Macaca mulatta: one gene and its partner. The protein of the gene in region 1 interacts with the protein of each later gene in a biochemical or structural test. Links are inferred from orthologs where the notes say so. Each region holds a gene or a part of one and is shown on either strand. Other genes may lie near its edges. The genes, in order: TMPO and LMNB1.

Evidence for each region.
Region 2: the proteins of TMPO (region 1) and LMNB1 form a complex in vitro, tested with the Homo sapiens proteins (2 studies listed by BioGRID). The link is inferred for Macaca mulatta from reciprocal best matches to the Homo sapiens genes TMPO and LMNB1.

The regions. Positions count from the first base shown.
Region 1 is NC_133416.1:105,821,428-105,830,003, forward strand, and holds part of TMPO (thymopoietin), read left to right. Parts: intron 1-3,539; coding exon 3,540-3,698; intron 3,699-4,675; coding exon of another isoform or gene 4,676-6,198; exon of another isoform or gene 6,199-7,460; intron 7,461-8,576. UniProt on the Homo sapiens protein: May help direct the assembly of the nuclear lamina and thereby help maintain the structural organization of the nuclear envelope. Possible receptor for attachment of lamin filaments to the inner nuclear membrane.
Region 2 is NC_133411.1:135,729,939-135,738,614, forward strand, and holds the start of LMNB1 (lamin-B1), read left to right. Parts: upstream 1-2,934; 5' UTR 2,935-3,155; coding exon 3,156-3,514; intron 3,515-8,676. UniProt on the Homo sapiens protein: Lamins are intermediate filament proteins that assemble into a filamentous meshwork, and which constitute the major components of the nuclear lamina, a fibrous layer on the nucleoplasmic side of the inner nuclear membrane.

The DNA of each region.
Region 1 (8,576 bases):
TTTCAGTAGAGACAGGGTTTCACTGTGTTAGCTAGGACGGTCTCCATCTCCTGACCTCGTGATCTGCCCGCCTCGGCTTCCCAAAGTGCTGGGATTACAGGCGTGAGCTACCGTGCCCGGCCACTTACATCGTACTTCTGCTGAGACATGGGTCTTATATGACAATTGAGGAAAATCTGAGGTAACATAGCTGGGCAGAATTGCCCAAATAAATGAGTTAGTGGCCGGGTACAGTAGCTCACTCCTGTAATCCCAATACTTTGGGAGGCCAAGATGGGAGGATTGCTTGTGCCCAGGCGTTTAAGACCAGCATGAGCATCGTAGGGAGATCCCATCTCTGCAGAAAATTTTAAAATTAGCACGGTGTGGTGTCACAAGTCTGTTGTCCCAGCGACTTAGGAGGCTGAGGCAGGAGGATTGCTTGAGGTGGTAGGGGGTTCAAGGTTGCAGTGAGCCATGATGGCTACTGTACTTTGGCCAGAGGCAGTGGAGGAAGACCCTGTCTCAAAAAAATAAATAAATAAAGGAAAAAAGAAAAAGTGAGTTAGTGACAGACTTCTTAATGAGGTTATTAAATTCCTAGCATAGTACCTTTTTTTTTTTTTTTTGAGACAGGGTTTCGCTCTTGTCGCCCAGGCTAGAGTGCAATGGCATGATCTTGGCTCTCTGCAACCTCTGCCTCCCAGGTTCAAGCAGTTCTCTAGCCTCAGCTTCCCGAATAGCTGTGATTACAGGTACCCGCCACCACGCCTGGCTAATTTTTATATTTTTAGTAGAGATGGGGTTTCGCCGTGTTGGCCAGGCTGGTCTCAAACTCCTGACCTCAGGTGATCCGCCCACCTCAGGCTCCCAAAGTGTTGGGATTACAGGCGTGAGCCACTGCGCCCAGCCCCTTTTTCGTGTATCATTAAAAGTACCCTTTTGAAAATCCTGTCTTGATTGGAATTGAATAATTATACCCTTAAAAAACAAAAACCTAGAACTAAATACACTGGATTTCCATTGTTGGATTACTTTTAGGTGATGAAGATTTTGCAGTGTTGATTATGCCTTAGTTTTGGAGTGTCTTAGCAATAACCGCAGGATGAGAAAATTCCATTTTGATGGTTTTTTTTTTTTGAGAAAAGGTCTTGCTCTGTTGCCCACACTAGAGTGTAGTGACGCAGTCGTGGCTTACTGCAGCCTCAACCTCCTGGGCTCAAGCAGTCCCACCTCAGCCTACCAAGTAGCTGGGAACACAGGCATGTGCCACCATTCCTGGCTAAATTTTGTATTTTTTGTAGGGATGGGGTCACACTATATTGCCTAGGCTAGTCTTGAACTCCTGGGCTCAAGCAGTCCTGCCACCTAGGCCTCCCTAAGTCCTAGGATTACAGGCATGAGCCATTGCATCTGGTCTTGATCTTCTAAGTTACATAAAATTGTGGACACTAGAGATTTGGTAGGTTTTGCTGTAGGTATAGTTGCAAATAAGGATTTGGAATATTTTGTTTTAATGTATAAGCTGCTTCCAAATAATCATAAGTTTATTCATGTACAATTACCAACAGATATATAACACTTTTAAAAAATTTTTTGTTTAAAGTTCTAAAAGGCCTGGGCATGGTAGTTCATGCCTATAAATAATCCCAACATTTTGGGAGGCCAAGGTGGTGGAATTGCTTGAGCTCAGGAGTTGAAGAGCAGCCAGGGCAACATAGTGAACCTTGTCTCTATTTTTTAAAAAAATTAGCCAGGCATGGTGGTGCACATTTGTAGTCCCAGCTACTCAGGAGGCAAAGGTGGGAGGATTGCTTGAGCCTACAAGTTGAAGGTTGCAGTGAACTACGATCACACCACTGCACTGCAGCCTGGGCAACAGAGCAAGACCTTGTCTCGAAAAAAAAAAAAAGAAATTCCAAAAGAGAGACACTGAAAAATGTGTGTTATAATGTCAGCCTACATTAAATGATATGTTGATATATGACCTGTTCATCTTAAAGCTATTTCTATAACACTTCTGGACACATGTTGCTTCTAAAAAATATCCATTGTCATTTTGCTCATCTTACAGAAGTTAAGGAAAGATATACAGTTAGTGTAAGACAAAATCTATTTTGGTTTTAAACTGCCACTGATGTTCCAATGTGTTAAGAATTTGTAATCAGTTTTGCTTTGTGATATGTGTTTTCCATAAAAGGTCATTTTAACTGCAAAGTTAAATATTTAAATCTGATTTATAGAACTTTTCTTTTCCCCATAACTGAATACAGGCATATTAATGCCTTAGAGTTGTGGAAGTTTAATCATAGTTATTTTTCATAGAGGTACAATCCGCTTATATGTGATTTTTCTATGTTGGCAAGTACTATTATGTGGTAGTAGAGAAAATACACAAGTGCAAGACTTCAGTCAAAAATAGTCATACATGGCTTTTCAGTAGATGGTCTACAGTAAGGCCTATATTAATTTACTATGTATTTCATGCTATTAAAAGAAATGTCGTTTCCAAAAAAAAACCACCTATTATAAAAACAGTGCATTATATAGTTCTGTAGAATGCAGTGGTGCGATACCAGCTCACTGCAGCCTCTACCTCCTGGGTTCAAGCAATTCTCCTGCCTCAGCCTCCTGAGTGGCTGAGATTACAGGCGCCCACCACCAGGCCCAGCTAATTTTTTGTATTTTTGGTGGAGATGGGGTTTCACCATGTTAGGCTGTCTTGTCTTGAACTGCTGACCTCAGGTGATCCACCCACCTTGGCCTCTGAAAGTGCTGGGATTACAGGCATCAGCCACCACGTCTGTCCTTTTGTTTGTTTGTTTGTTTGTTTGTTTGTTTGTTTGAGATGGTGTCTCACTTCGTCGCTGGACAGTGGTGTGATCTTGGCTCACTGCAACCTCTGCCTCCCAATTTCAAGTGATTCTCCTGTCTCAGCCTCCCAAATAGCTGGGATCACAGGCATGTGCCACCACTCCCGGCTAATTTTTGCATTTTTAGTGGAGATGCAGTTTCACTGTGTTGGCCAGGCTGGTCTCGAACTCCTGACCTCAAGTGATGCACCCGCCTCAGCCTCCCAAAGTGGCGGGTTTACAGTCGTGAGCCACTATGTCCGGCCGCATTATATAGTATTTTTAAGAACTTGAGTTTAGCCGGGTGCGGTGGCTCAAGCCTGTAATCCCAGCACTTTGGGAGGCCGAGACGGGCGGATCACGAGGTCAGGAGATCAAGACCATCCTGGCTAACACGGTGAAACCCCGTCTCTACTAAAAATACAAAAAAACTAGCCGGGCGAGGTGGCGGGCGTCTGTAGTCCCAGCTACTTGGGAGGCTGAGGCAGGAGAATGGCGTGAACCCGGGAGGTGGAGCTTGCAGTGAGCTGAGATCCGGCCACTGCACTCCAGCCTGGGTGACAGAGCAAGACTCCGTCTCAAAAAAAAAAAACTTGAGTTTAAAAAAAGAAAGAGTGAAAATAGCTTAAAATGTTGCTGAGTATAGTGTCTGAGCTGCACCCTAAATGAAGCAATACAAGTACTAAAGCAAATTCTGCCTTAATCCAGGAACAACCAGGAAGCTGTATGAGAAAAAGCTTTTGAAACTGAGGGAACAAGGAACAGAATCAAGATCTTCTACTCCTCTGCCAACAATTTCTTCTTCAGCAGAAAATACAAGGCAGAATGGAAGTAATGATTCTGACAGATATAGTGACAATGAAGAAGGTAAAATTTTAAATGATGTTAATCAAATGTATGTAATTTTTTCACACTCAAAATACAGTGACCATGAAGAAAGTAAAATTTAAAACAATATTGACAAGATATACAAATTTTATTCATGTCATTAGAGTAATTCTGTAATTTGATTTAAATACTTTTTATTGAAAATTATAAGAAACAACATAGTACAAATTTATAATTTTCTGTCACCTGAAATTGCAAGTTAACTTTGTCTTTTTTGCTTCAAACCCATTTTTCTGAGAGAATAAAGTATTACAAGTAAAGGCAAAGTTCCTTGTACTTATCTGTACCTGTCACCTCCACAGAAGTAACTACTAATTCAATGCCCATCTTTCAAGTTTGTTTTTATATTTCACATACACATCTGTCTAATACATGGTATTATTTTATACTTTAAGAATACAAAATTTATATAAACAATATGCTAAATCTTATCACTTGCTTTTTCTTACTCCTTTATTTTTGAAATATAATCCAATTAGTTACATATCTGTTTATTCCGCATAATACATAGTAGCATTTAAATATGGCATATTTTCTCTATTCTCTATTGATAGGCATTTAAATTGTTTACAGTTTTTGTTGATCTGACCTGAAGGCAACTTTAAAGCAAATATTTTGACTACATTTTTAGTAGACTAGATAGTATCTTAAAATTTGATTATGATGTTGAAATATTTTTTGAGGATAGGACGTGAAATAAATGTCCTTTAAAAATTGTAAGTACAACTTGATTTTTGTAAACTTTTAATTCATATGACTTGTGGTTATTTATTTTGATCCAGATTGTTTATATCTCAATAAGCTGTGTCTACCAGGGCAAATCTGGCAGATTAGTTCAGAATATTAAATTATAGAGTCTTTTCCTTTGACAGCACTATTTTTAGCAAAGAGGCAAAGAATAAAATCAGCTCAAACACAGGTAATGCTTAAACTTCCTGCCTCTTTTGCCTCTACAGGAAAGAAGAAAGAACACAAGAAAGTGAAGTCCACTAGGGATTTTGTTCCTTTTTCTGAACTTGGAACTACTGCCTCTGGTGGTGGATTTTTTCAGGGTATTTCTTTTCCTGAAATCTCCACCCGTCCTCCTTTGGGCAGTACTGAACTACAGGCAGCTAAGAAAGTACATACTTCTAAGGGAGACCTACCTAGGGAGCCTCTTGTTGCCACAAACTTGCCTGGCAGGGGACAATTGCAGAAGTTAGCCTCTGAAAGGAATTTGTTTATTTCATGCAAGTCTAGCCATAATAGGTGCTTAGAGAAAAGTTCTTCGTCATCTTCTCAGCCTGAACACAGTGCCATGTTGGTCTCTGCTGCAGCTTCTCCTTCACTGATTAAAGAAACCACCACTGCTTGCTATAAAGACATAGTAGAAAATATTTGCGGTAGAGAAAAAAGTGGAATTCAACCGTTATGTCCTGAGAGGTCCCATATTTCAGATCAGTCGCCTCTCTCCAGTAAAAGGAAAGCACTAGAAGAGTCTGAGAGCTCAAAACTAATTTCTCCGCCACTTGCCCAGGCAATCAGAGATTATGTCAATTCTCTGTTGGTCCAGGGTGGGACAGGTAGTTTGCCTGGAACTTCTAACTCTACACCCCCACTGGATGTAGAAAACATACAGAAGAGAATTGATCAATCTAAGTTTCAAGAAACTGAATTCCTGTCTCCTCCACGAAAAGTCCCTAGACTGAGTGAGAAGTCAGTGGAGGAAAGGGATTCAGGTTCCGTTGTGGCATTTCAGAACATACCTGGATCCGAACTTTTGCCGTCTTCTTTTGCCAAAACTGTTGTCTCTCATTCACTCACTACCTTAGGTCTAGAAGTGTCTAAGCAGTCACAGCATGATAAAATAGATGCCTCAGAACTATCTTTTCCCTTCCATGAATCTATTTTAAAAGTAATTGAAGAAGAATGGCAGCAAGTTGACAGGCAGCGGCCTTCACTGGCATGCAGATATCCAGTTTCTTCCAAGGAGGCAACACGGTTATTATCAGTTCCAAAAGTAGATGATGAAATCCTAGGGTTTATTTCTGAAGCCACTCCACCAGCAGGTATTCAAGCAACCTCCACTGAGTCTTGCGATAAACAGTTGGACTTAGCACTCTGTAGAGCATATGAAGCCGCAGCATCAGCATTGCAGATTGCAACCCACACTGCCTTTGTTGCTAAGGCTATGCAGGCAGACATTAGTCAAGCTGCACAGATTCTTAGCTCAGATCCTAGTCGTACCCATCAAGCACTTGGGATTCTGAGCAAAACATATGATGCAGCCTCATATATTTGTGAAGCTGCATTTGATGAAGTGAAGATGGCTGCCCATACCATGGGAAATTCCACTGTAGGTCGTCGATACCTCTGGCTGAAAGATTGCAAAATTAATTTAGCTTCTAAGAGTAAGCTGGCTTCCACTCCCTTTAAAGGTGGAACATTATTTGGAGGAGAAGTATGCAAAGTAATTAAAAAGCGTGGAAATAAACACTAGTAACATTAAGAACAAAAAGACACCTATCTTATATTTCAAACTTTTATGCCAACATTTTCTTTTCTGTTAAGGTTGTTTTAGTTTCCAGATAGGGCTAATTACAAAATGTTAAGCTTCTACCCATCAAATTATAGTATAAAAGTAATTGCCTGTGTAGAACTGCTTTTCTTTTTTAAAGATTTGCATAGGTAGGAAACCTGGTACAAACAATTTAAAGCTTTCTAGATCACATATTAGTCTCCAAATTGTTTTCTATTTCCTGCTTTACGTATGCTTTTACAATTCTCCAAAACTAAGAAAATTCTAATTAGGATATAAGGAGTCTTTACTGTTTAATAGAGTAATATGCATCCTCCTTTATACCTAGGACAGGTTTAAACGTTTGTTACACATTCAGAACAGTGATTTTGTTCTTTTTGATATTTTTATCTCAGTATCTTTTCACATTCCATAACTTGTCCATATTTTTGCTCATATTTTGTTGCTTTTGTTTTTTTACTCATGTCTGCAACAGCAATCATAGTAGTCTAGATCAGTGCAACTCAAACTACCAGTCTACGAACTGTTACTTATCCACAGGCAAGATAAGCATGCACAATAATTTAAATCTAAAGATACTTTTTAAGTCAATGACAGGATTTATTTTTTAGCAAAATTGTATTAATAGCTAAAGCAATGTATTGATTTACACTCTGATGCAAGTAATGTATCTCTTCATTGACTGGTAGCAACCAATTCATGGACCAGTACCATGGACCACACTTTGAGAAACACTTCTTTGGATAATAATAGATATCCTGGGATAGTGCATGTTCACCGTCTATTTTATCAGATAATGGGGCTTTTTAAAAAATACTACTTTGCTTTCATGATATATTGTATTTTGTGGAAAGTTAAGTTTAACAATATAGACTCTAAAAGCAAATTTAATTTGTTTAAAGCCATAAGAAATATACTATATCCCAGTATCTGTGTGTCTGTATAAAGCATTGTATTATCATCTTTTAATTTCTATGATTGTAAGATAAGAATCTAACTGCAGAGGTATTGTGGAAAATAGTAGCCTTAAGCATAATAAAATATGGTCTCTTGGGTACTCCCTCTGGCCATTACCACATTCTTAGATTATACATGTCCCTCTTTGCAACTTTCTGAGAGTAATTTTATTTGTTGTCTTCTGAAATGTACATGTATACATGTACCTATTGAGTGCTGTGTGATTTTTAAAAATGTATTACTGTAGAATGCTTCTGCAAATTCAATAAAAGTTGTTAAATTTGAACAGTGTTGTGTGGTCTCCAGAAACATGTTGTTATGTGTGCTTTATTCTTGGAGTTGCAACAAGTTAAACATTTGTATATGAACACCCTTTTTCCATTTCATCATTGAAACTCACTCTGACATTTCAGCGGTATGATTGAAAATACTCTGATTATTGTATGGTTTTTCTTCTGTTTGAGGACCATGTTTTTATTGACTGTTGGAATTTAAATTTATAAGAGGAATTGATCTGTAACCAGATACTTTATTTGTTTAATTGATTTCTGCTCCACTACTGATGGTTTTTTTTTACTTTGTGCTTTCTAGTTCTTAAAATCTGAGTTAACAAAGCCTAAAGTAAATTTTATATTGCTGGGGGTTGTATCAAACGTAGATATATTGATAGGGCCATTGATAGAAGTGTTGGGAGATAGACTTGAAATCTTAGTCCTAAATATTGAACTGTTTAAACTAACATGATAAAAATCACTGGTTTTTTTTTTTTGGGAAACCTGCAACTATTAAATAGATTCTGGACTAACTAATATTAACAATGGAAAGAGAGCAAGACACATATAGATGTCTAACACTTTTTTGCACAGGTTCATCATGGAGTTCATGTAAAACTTTAGAATTGACTTCCTTTCTGTCTCTTTGATAAAGTAATCTAATTTTTTTTTTTTTTTTTTTTTTTTTTTTTTTTTTTTTGAGACAGAGTCTCGCTCTGTCGCCTAGGCTGGAGTGCAGTGACTGGATCTCAGCTCACTGCAAGCTCCACCTCCCAGATTTACGCCATTCTCCTGCCTCAGCCTCTCGAGTAGCTGGGACTACAGGTGCCCGCCACCTCGCTAGTTTTTTTGTATTTTTTAGTAGAGAAGGGGTTTCACCGTGTTCGCCAGGATGGTCTCAATCTCCTGACCTCGTGATCCGCCTGTCTCGGCCTCCCAAAGTGCTGGGATTACAGGCCTGAGCCACCGCGCCCAGCCTTAAATTTTTGGTAGTAGAAGTTTTAGAAGTAATCACTGACTTGACTTACTAATTTTGCTATACCATGATAAATGTCTACAAAAAGGAGGAAATTTTTTTTTTTAAGAGGAAGTCTCGCTCTTGTCCGCAAA
Region 2 (8,676 bases), on another chromosome or scaffold:
TTGGCCAGGTTGGTCTCAAACTCCTGGCCTCAAGTGATCCACCTGCCTCATCCTCCCAAAGTGCTGGGATTACAAATGTGAGCCACTATGCCCGGCCACAATTACCTAATGCTAAGGCTTCAAGATTTTCCATTCTTTTTTCTTGGTTTTGACTGGAAACACATGATTACTATTAGTAAGAGTTACTATTTAGCCTTCACATGTTATATGTCTAACGCACTGCATAAATTGTTTTATTAAATCTACACAAATCCTGTGCAAGTAGAAATCATCCCCATTTTCTTTTCTTTCTTTTTTTTTGTTTTGAGATGAGTTTCGCTTCTGGAGTGCAATGGCACGATCTCGGCTCACGGCGACCTCCACCTCCCAGGTTAAAGCGATTCTTCTGCCTCAGTCTCCCGAGTAGCTGGGATTAGAGGCATGTGCCACCAGTCCCGGCTAATTTTATAGTCTTAGTAGAGACGGGGTTTCTCCATGTTGGTCAGGCTGGTCTCAAACTCCTGACCTCAGGTGATCCGCCGGCCTCCGCCTCCCAAAATGCTGGGATTACAGGCTGAGCCACCACGCCCGGCTGGTTTTCTCATCAGTAATTTAGATTTTAAAGTTCCTTTTAAGATTACTTGAATACTTAAAGTCGAAGCTTTTCGGTTCTTAAATTCTCAACGAGGTTAAGAAAGGAGGTATTTCATGGCCGGGCGCGGTGGCTCACGCCTGTAATTCTAGCACTTTGGGAGGCCGAGGTGGACGGATTGCCTGAGCTCAGGAGTTCGAGACCAGCCTGGGCAACACGTTGAAACATCGTCTCTACTAAAATACAAAAAATTAGCCGACTGTGGTGGCGCTGGTCCCACCAGGCAGGAGAATCGCTTGAACCCAGGAGGTGGAAGTTGCAGTGAGCCGAGATTGTACCATTGCACTCCAGCCTGGGCGACAAAGCGAGACTCCGTCTCCCTGCCACCCTTCCCCCACCCCCCAAAAAAAGAAAGAAGATATTTCAGGAAACCGGACAGGAAATAGAACCATTAATAAGGAGAATGGTCACAATTCACAGAGTGCCAGAAATTCATCTGTGATGAATATGCAGCTCCCAGTGTTCTTCACTAATTCTTATGTACATGACTTGATTAATAGTTAAAAGAATATCCTGGTCTTCATTTCTGCCATTTTTAAAGTAAGTAACCATTAATTACAGAAGCGTTCCTAACAGTTGATAAGGTGGCCATCTAGGGTATAGTTAAGGGCCAGATTCGAGTCAATTAGAATCCTGGGACCTGTCAAAAGCAGTCCCGTCTGTCGCCTGCTGGGCAGCTATAAAATGGATGCTTTTTTTTTGTTTTTTTTCAGACGGTGTCTCTGTCACCCAAGCTGGAATACGGTGTCTCTGTCACCAAGCTGGAGTGCAATGGTGCCATCTCGGCTCACTGCAACTTCCCCTTCCCGGGTTCGAGGGAATCGCCCACCTCAGTCTCCCAAGTAGCTGGGATTACAGGCACCCGCCATCATGCCCGGCTAATTTTTGTAGAGATGGGGTTTCACCATCTTGGTCAGGCTGGTCTTGAACTCCTGACCTCAGGTGATCCTCCCACCTCTCCGCCTCCCAAAGGGTCGAGATTACAGGCGTGAGCCACCGCGCCCGTCCGGATGAATTTTCAAACAGATACAATCCAGTTTCCTATATCACACGGCGGTTGTGTGGATGGGTAATCCATGAAAAGCCTAGTGCTGGCACTCAGTCCCAATAAACGTTAGCCTAAAAATTAGGAACTTTTCAAAGGGATGAAATGTGCTTTCTATTAGAAGTAGCTGCCAGTGACATCTTGGGAGCCTCTTTTTAAAAGCAAAAAATTATTTCATCTTAAATTTCCACGTTCAGATTTTTATGCATCTGATTTTAAGAGTATGAAACAGCTTGCGCTCATATTTACTCACCGTCATATGTTAATCGTATCATTTCTGAGCTGTTTTTGATTTTACAAACCCTTAAGAAACAAACGGATTAGGAACCGCCCATTAACACTGGTAGCAAATGATTTAAAATCAGGGTTGCTGGTTTTTCTGTGATAAATAATCTGTCGGCTTCAAGACGCACAGATCTCAATTTCATGGAAAGAAGTTGCCTGATATAATTTTCCACCCGAGAGAAAAATAAAGGCTGGTACTTGGAACCTGCAAGCAGTGCGTTTGGAACTCCGGACTCAAGTGCCTATTACGTAATTCCACAGCGTCCCAGCCTCCAAGCCGTTTCCCGAGCCCTCCACAGGAACAGGGGATAAGGTTACCACGCCCGCGGTGGCCGGGGACTCTGAGTTTCGCGTGTGGCTTTTAGGAACGTTTATATTTGAATTTCCCTGAACCGCCGAGTGTGGGCGGTGGCGCAGATCCGCCCCGGAAACCTCCGGGCTCCTTCCCGCCTTTCGCAGGCCCGGCCCCTCCAAGGGGTCCCCGCGGGGCGGCGGGAGGGCCCGGAGGGCGCTGGGCCCAGGGCCGCGCGGGTGGGCAGTCCCGGGCGTCCTTCCTTGCCGCCCTGAGTCCCGTCCGGGCACCGCCCAGGCGGGCGTGCCGAGCGGACGGTTGCCCGAGTGCCAGATTTTAAATTTACAGGCCCGGCCTCCGGGCCGCCGAAGCACGCTGCCCGTTCCCCATTGGCCGATGACGGTCACGTGGAGGCGCCAGGGCGCGCCGGCCATGTTGGGGTGTGCGGCGCCGCGGCCCGCGCCACCTCCGCCCCCCGCGGCTTGCCTCCAGCCCGCCCCTCCCGGCCCTCCTCCCCCCGCCCGCCGCTCCGTGCAGCCTGAGAGGAAACAAAGTGCTGCGAGCAGGAGACGGCGGCGGCGCGGACCCTGCTTGGCCTCCAGTCACCCTCGTCTTGCATTTTCCCGCGTGCGTGTGTGAGTGGGTGTGTGTGTTTTCTTACAAAGGACATTTCGCGATCGATCGATTGATTCGTAGTCCCACCCCCCCCCGCGCCTTTGCCCTTTGTGCTGTAATCGAGCTCCCGCCATCCCAGGTGCTTCTCCGTTCCTCTAAACGCCGGCGTCTGGACGCGAGCGCAGGTCGCCGGTTTGTGCCTTCGGTCCCCGCTTCGCCCCCTGCCGTCCCCTTCTTGTCACGGTCCTGCTCGCGGCCTCGCCTCCCCGCTGTCTCCGCCGCCCGCCATGGCGACCGCGACCCCCGTGCCGCCGCGGACGGGCAGCCGCGCTGGCGGCCCCACCACGCCGCTGAGCCCCACGCGGCTGTCGCGGCTCCAGGAGAAGGAGGAGCTGCGCGAGCTCAATGACCGGCTGGCGGTGTACATCGACAAGGTGCGCAGCCTGGAGACGGAAAACAGCGCGCTGCAGCTGCAGGTGACGGAGCGCGAGGAGGTGCGCGGCCGCGAGCTCACTGGCCTCAAGGCGCTCTACGAGACCGAGCTGGCCGACGCGCGACGCGCGCTCGACGACACGGCCCGCGAGCGCGCCAAGCTGCAGATCGAGCTGGGCAAGTGCAAGGCGGAACACGACCAGCTGCTCCTCAAGTGAGTGCTAGCTGGCTGCCGCGTTAGCACCAAGGAGGGTCGGGGGCGCAGTCGCGGCGGCCAGCTCACCGGGTTGTGCCCTGGGGAGGGAGTGCAGAGGCCAGGATGCACGCGTCCTTCGGAAGGAACAGGGTCTCGGTCTCCGGAAAGAAAAGGAAAAAGAATCTAGAGTTCATAGCGGGGCAGGGGTCGCGGAGGGGGCTCGAACTGTAGCGATGGGGGCCGTGATGCCCATTTCTAGGTTTTGGATACCCGCTGGGACGTGATAAGTGCGCGCCTGGGACTGCTGAGAACGAGCGCCAGCTTTCGCACCTCGAACCCGGGGAGCCGGCGCGGAGAGGCGGCCCGCAGGCCCCAGGTGCAGGGAACTGGAGCGCGGACGCGCGCTCGAGTGCGCGCCCGGGTTTCCGGCCGGCGCGAGACAAAGCGTCTAGCGGATTTGTAGTGCCAGGATGGCCGGCCGGGGAGGACAGGCAGCCCGCCTCTAGAATGAATGAGCTTCGCGCGGGCAGAGGGAGGAAGGGGAGGGACCTTCCCGGAGCATCCGCGTCTCCTGGGGGTGGGTCCCACTTTGGCGCGCTCAGTCTTGGCCCTGTGACATTTTGCGAAGGTTCTACGCCTGCTTTGGGCGGGAGAGAGAGGCGGGGCTTGATCCGCGCGCCTCCAGCCCGCCTCAGGCAAGTTAGGTTTGCTAGCTGGTTAGCTTTCTCAGGGCAAAGGTGTCCTGTCTCAGCGGGGATGGTGCGAGCCCTCAGGTGGTTCTGCGCAGGGAAGGAAAGCCGGGTTTGTGCATGTTACTGCCACTGTTCTTCGAGTTGCGGTTCGCCTACCCCTCAGGCAGCGGCCCCCTCTCCCCAGCTTTTGCCGCCTCATAGTAGAGTCGGGCTTTCGGGTAGGGACCGTGCTTAGTACCCCTTAGTCGGCCATTGTGCAGATAGTAGACCAGGGCAGGTGACAGGGTGCTATGTAAATGCTGAGTGTTTGAGCGAAGGAGAGTTTGTAATTATTCACCTAAGCGAGTGTGAGTTTTCATTCCAGTGCACAAGGATACACTTGCAGACCTTTGCAGGCCTTATTTTGATTTTCTGATAAGCAAAATGGCCTGTCATCAGTAGGCAACAAGTGTTGATGTCATGCTTTAGAGATTTGCAAAATTTGGGTCTGGAATTCGTGCTCGCCATTAGCACGGCCAACTGAAATTTCTGGAGGTACCTTATTCTCACTTTGACACTCTTTGTCCCTGCTTCTTGGATTTACTAAGCCTTGGTTTCATCTTTTGAAATGAGCGGTAAGCTCACTCACACTGTTGTTTCCATGTTTCTCCAACTTTTTGCCACTGAATTCCTTCAAGTCTTAGATATCGTTGCTTGTAAGACTTGCCATTAGATTTGTACCACTAAGAAGATAAAAACACCAGGACCAACTGTGTAGGAACCATCCTGTTGGACCCATCATGATTTCATAGATATTAAAATGTCACACAGGGCCGGGCATGGTGGCTCACACCTGTAATCCCAGCACTTTGGGAGGCGAGGTGAGCGAATCACTTGAAATCAGGAGTTCGAGACCAGCCTAATTGGTGAAACCCCGTCTCTACTAAAAATACAAAAAATTAGCCAGGCGTGGTAGCACGCATCTGTAGTCCCAGCTACTCGGGAGGCTGAGGCAGGAGAATCGCTTGAACCCAGGAGACGGATGTTGCAGTGAGCCGGGATTGCGCGTTGCACCCCAGCCTGGCGACAGAGTGAGACCCTGTCTCAAAAAAAAAAAAAAATATATATATATATATATATATGTATGTATGTATGTGTGTGTATATATATATCTGGGCGTCGTGGTGGGCGCCTGTAATCCCAGCTACTGGGGAGGCTGAGGCAGGAGAATTGCTTGATATCCAGGAGGCAGAGGCTGCAGTGAGCCAGATGGTCCGCTGCACTCCAGCCTGGGTGACAGAGTGAGACTCTGTCTAAAAAAAAAATTCACACAGATCAATGATCTGTTGTGAACCAGTCACCGTTCTATGTTAGAGGGTACGAAGATTTTTTAAAAAAATGAAGTACTATTCTTTGTTGCTGAGAGTGTAGTGGGGGAGCTGTATCCCAGCAAGCAAATAAAGATTGTCTTTTGTGTGATGTGAAGCATTTTGATGCTGGCGCTTTTGTAATCTTTCCAGGAGTTATCCACAGGTTTTTCACACAGTAACAAGGCTGCCACCTGGCTGACACTAGTTGTAAATGTATGGATTCTAAAATGCATGCTGGTTTCAGTGGGGTTAAAAAATGAGAATAATGTGTATTAGAATCAATGAAATAATGTATGTGATACAGTTTAGGTAATAGCAGATGCTAAGGGAATAAAAATGAAGCAGAGTGAAGGGTTAGTGTGATTAAGGAAGGCCTGTCTGAGGGGTTGACAGTATCTATTCTCCCAGGGTAAGTAGTGTTCTGGGATTATATTTTTCTTAGGTCTCTGCTACTGTATGTATATTCCTATTGCCAGGATTAGGTGTACTCTTCTTTCCCCCTCAGCATACCATCATTTGCTCAAAACATGCCACGTTTTAGTTTGCTCCTCATTTGAATTATGACTTTTTTAATATGGATTTATTCCTCAGTAGCCTTTCGTTTTTCTTGTTGATTAAGAAAAATTTGCCCTCAGTGTGTTTGCAGACTTTTTGAAGATATCTAATCATAATATATATCACATGAATCTACTTTCTTCCCTAGAGTTCTCTTTGCTGAAGGTATGCTGTGTACTGATGTCCTGTAACTTTTTTTTTTTTTTTTTGAGCTGGAGTCTTGCTCTGTCGCCCAGGCTGGAGTGCAGTGGCGCAATCTCGGCTCACTGCAACCTCCGCCTCCTGGGTGCACACCATTCTCCTGCCTCAACCTCCCGAGTAGCTGGGACTGTAGGTGCTCGCCACTACGCCCGGTTAATTTTTTGTATTCTTTAGTAGAGACGGGGTTTCACCGTGTTAGCCAGGATGGTCTGGATCTCCTGACCTCGTAATCTGCCCGCCTCGGCCTCCTAAAGTGCTGGGATTACAGGCGTGAGCCACCGCGCCTGGCCGTCCTGTAACTTATTAAAGACAGCTTCCTGGCTGGGCACAGTGGCTCATGCCTATAAAGCACTTTGAGAGACCCAGACAGGTAGATCACCTGAAGTCAGGAGTTTGAGACTAGCCTGGCCAACATGGCAAGACCCCGTCTCTACTAAAAATACACAAATTAGCCGGGTGTGGTGGTGGACGCCTGCAATCCCAGTTACTCTGGAGGCTGAGGCAGGAGGCTTCGCTTGAACCAGGAAGGCGGAGGTTGCAGTGAGCTGAGATCACACCACTGCACTCCACCCTGGGTGTATTTTGCTTTTCCTTGGTTTCTTCATATTTTGTTGAAGAACATCCTTAAGTAATTTATTCGGAAAGGATGGCAGGAGGTAAACTTTCTGATTCCTGTATGTCTGAAAATAGCTTTGTTTAGTCTCATGCTTGATTGGCTGTTGGGCTAGGTATAGAATACTAGGTTAACATTTTTCCAGAACTTGAAAGTATTATTTTGCCCTATTGTCTTCTGGCATCCAGGGTTGTTAATGTGTTTCTTTCTTTTATTTCTTTTTTTTTTGTTTGAGACTGAGCTTGGCTCACTGCAACCTCCGCCTCCCAGGTTCAAGTGATGCTCCTGACCCAGCCTCCCAAGTAGCTGGGATTATAGGTGTGCACCACCACACCCAACTCATTTTGTATTTTTAGTAGAGACGGGATTTCACCGTGTTTGCCAGGCTGGTCTCAAACTCCTGACCTCAGGTGATCCACCCACCTCAGCTTCCCAAGGTGCTGAGATTACAGGTGTGAGCCACCATGCCTGGCCTATATTTAATTTTTTATTTGGAACCAGAGTGTTTGTAATTAAGTATAATCATCATTTAGGTAGATTTAGATTAAGAAAACAGCCTTGAGAGAATTATAGATTCCAAGTTGCTTAGTTTCTTTTTGGTTCCTCAGCACACAAAATACCTTAGAGGCAGAGCATGGAAATGCTTGGTCTGAAGAGAATTTGGCAATAGTTTCCATGCATGTGGTGTTTGAATCCATAGGAATACAGATCTCATATGCAAGGTACAGTTACTCTGATTCAGTCCAAGCCTAGTTATATTTTGCTGAAAGCTTTTTTGGGAGAACAGTTTCCAAGAATGATGATGAATGCCATCACTCAAAACTTTAAACAAAAAGTACAGAGAAATTGACTTGTTTCAGAATTTCACTGTTAACTATATGGGAAAAACAGATGTAACAGAAAGTTGTGTTTATATCAATCTTCAATAACTGGTTTTATGGATTCAGACATTTATTTTCCTTCAGTGATACAGGTCCCCTATCTTCTCTGTAAAACCCTGGGGGCCAGATGTGCTTTGGAAGTAAAAGCAATTCCAATTTAAGACGGTAATATGATGCACATACTGAATATGACACCCCCAGTGGAGTTTATAGAGTTAGGGTAGATAAGAGTTAGCACTCTATCATGAAACATTTCTGAGGGAGAGATATTGTCACGGCAGGTGGAGAAAGACAGATTGAAAATAGACCTGGTTTCAGGTCAGGTTTTGCCACTAAATGTGTTAACAAAATTTTAGGTTTTCAAACTCTGAAAGTACAGATAAAAGACTGTGGATTTTTGTTTGTTTGTATGTATGTATGTATGTATGTATGTATGTATGTATTTATTTATTTATTTATTGAGACAGAGTCTTGCTCTCTTGTCCAGGCTGGAGTGCAGCTCACGATCTCAGCTCACTGCAACCTCCATCTCCCTGGTTTAAGCAATTTGCCTGCCTCAGCCTCATGGTTAGCTGGGATTACAGGCACCCGCCACCACGCCTGGCTAATTTTTGTATGTTTAGGAGAGATGAAGTTTCGCCATGTTGACAAGGCTGGTTTCGAACTCCAGAGATCAGGTGATCCACCCATCTCGGTCTTCCACCATGCTGAGATTACAGGCATGAACCACCTTACCCCACCAGTACTTTTAAGTCCTTTAGCCTGTATTTCCTCATCTGTGTAATTATGATATAAATAGTAGTTTTCTGAATCTCAGGGAGAGTTAAGAAATTTAGGCCTTTTTCTGGCTTGTTATTAGTTCAAATTATGCAGCATACTGATGTAAATC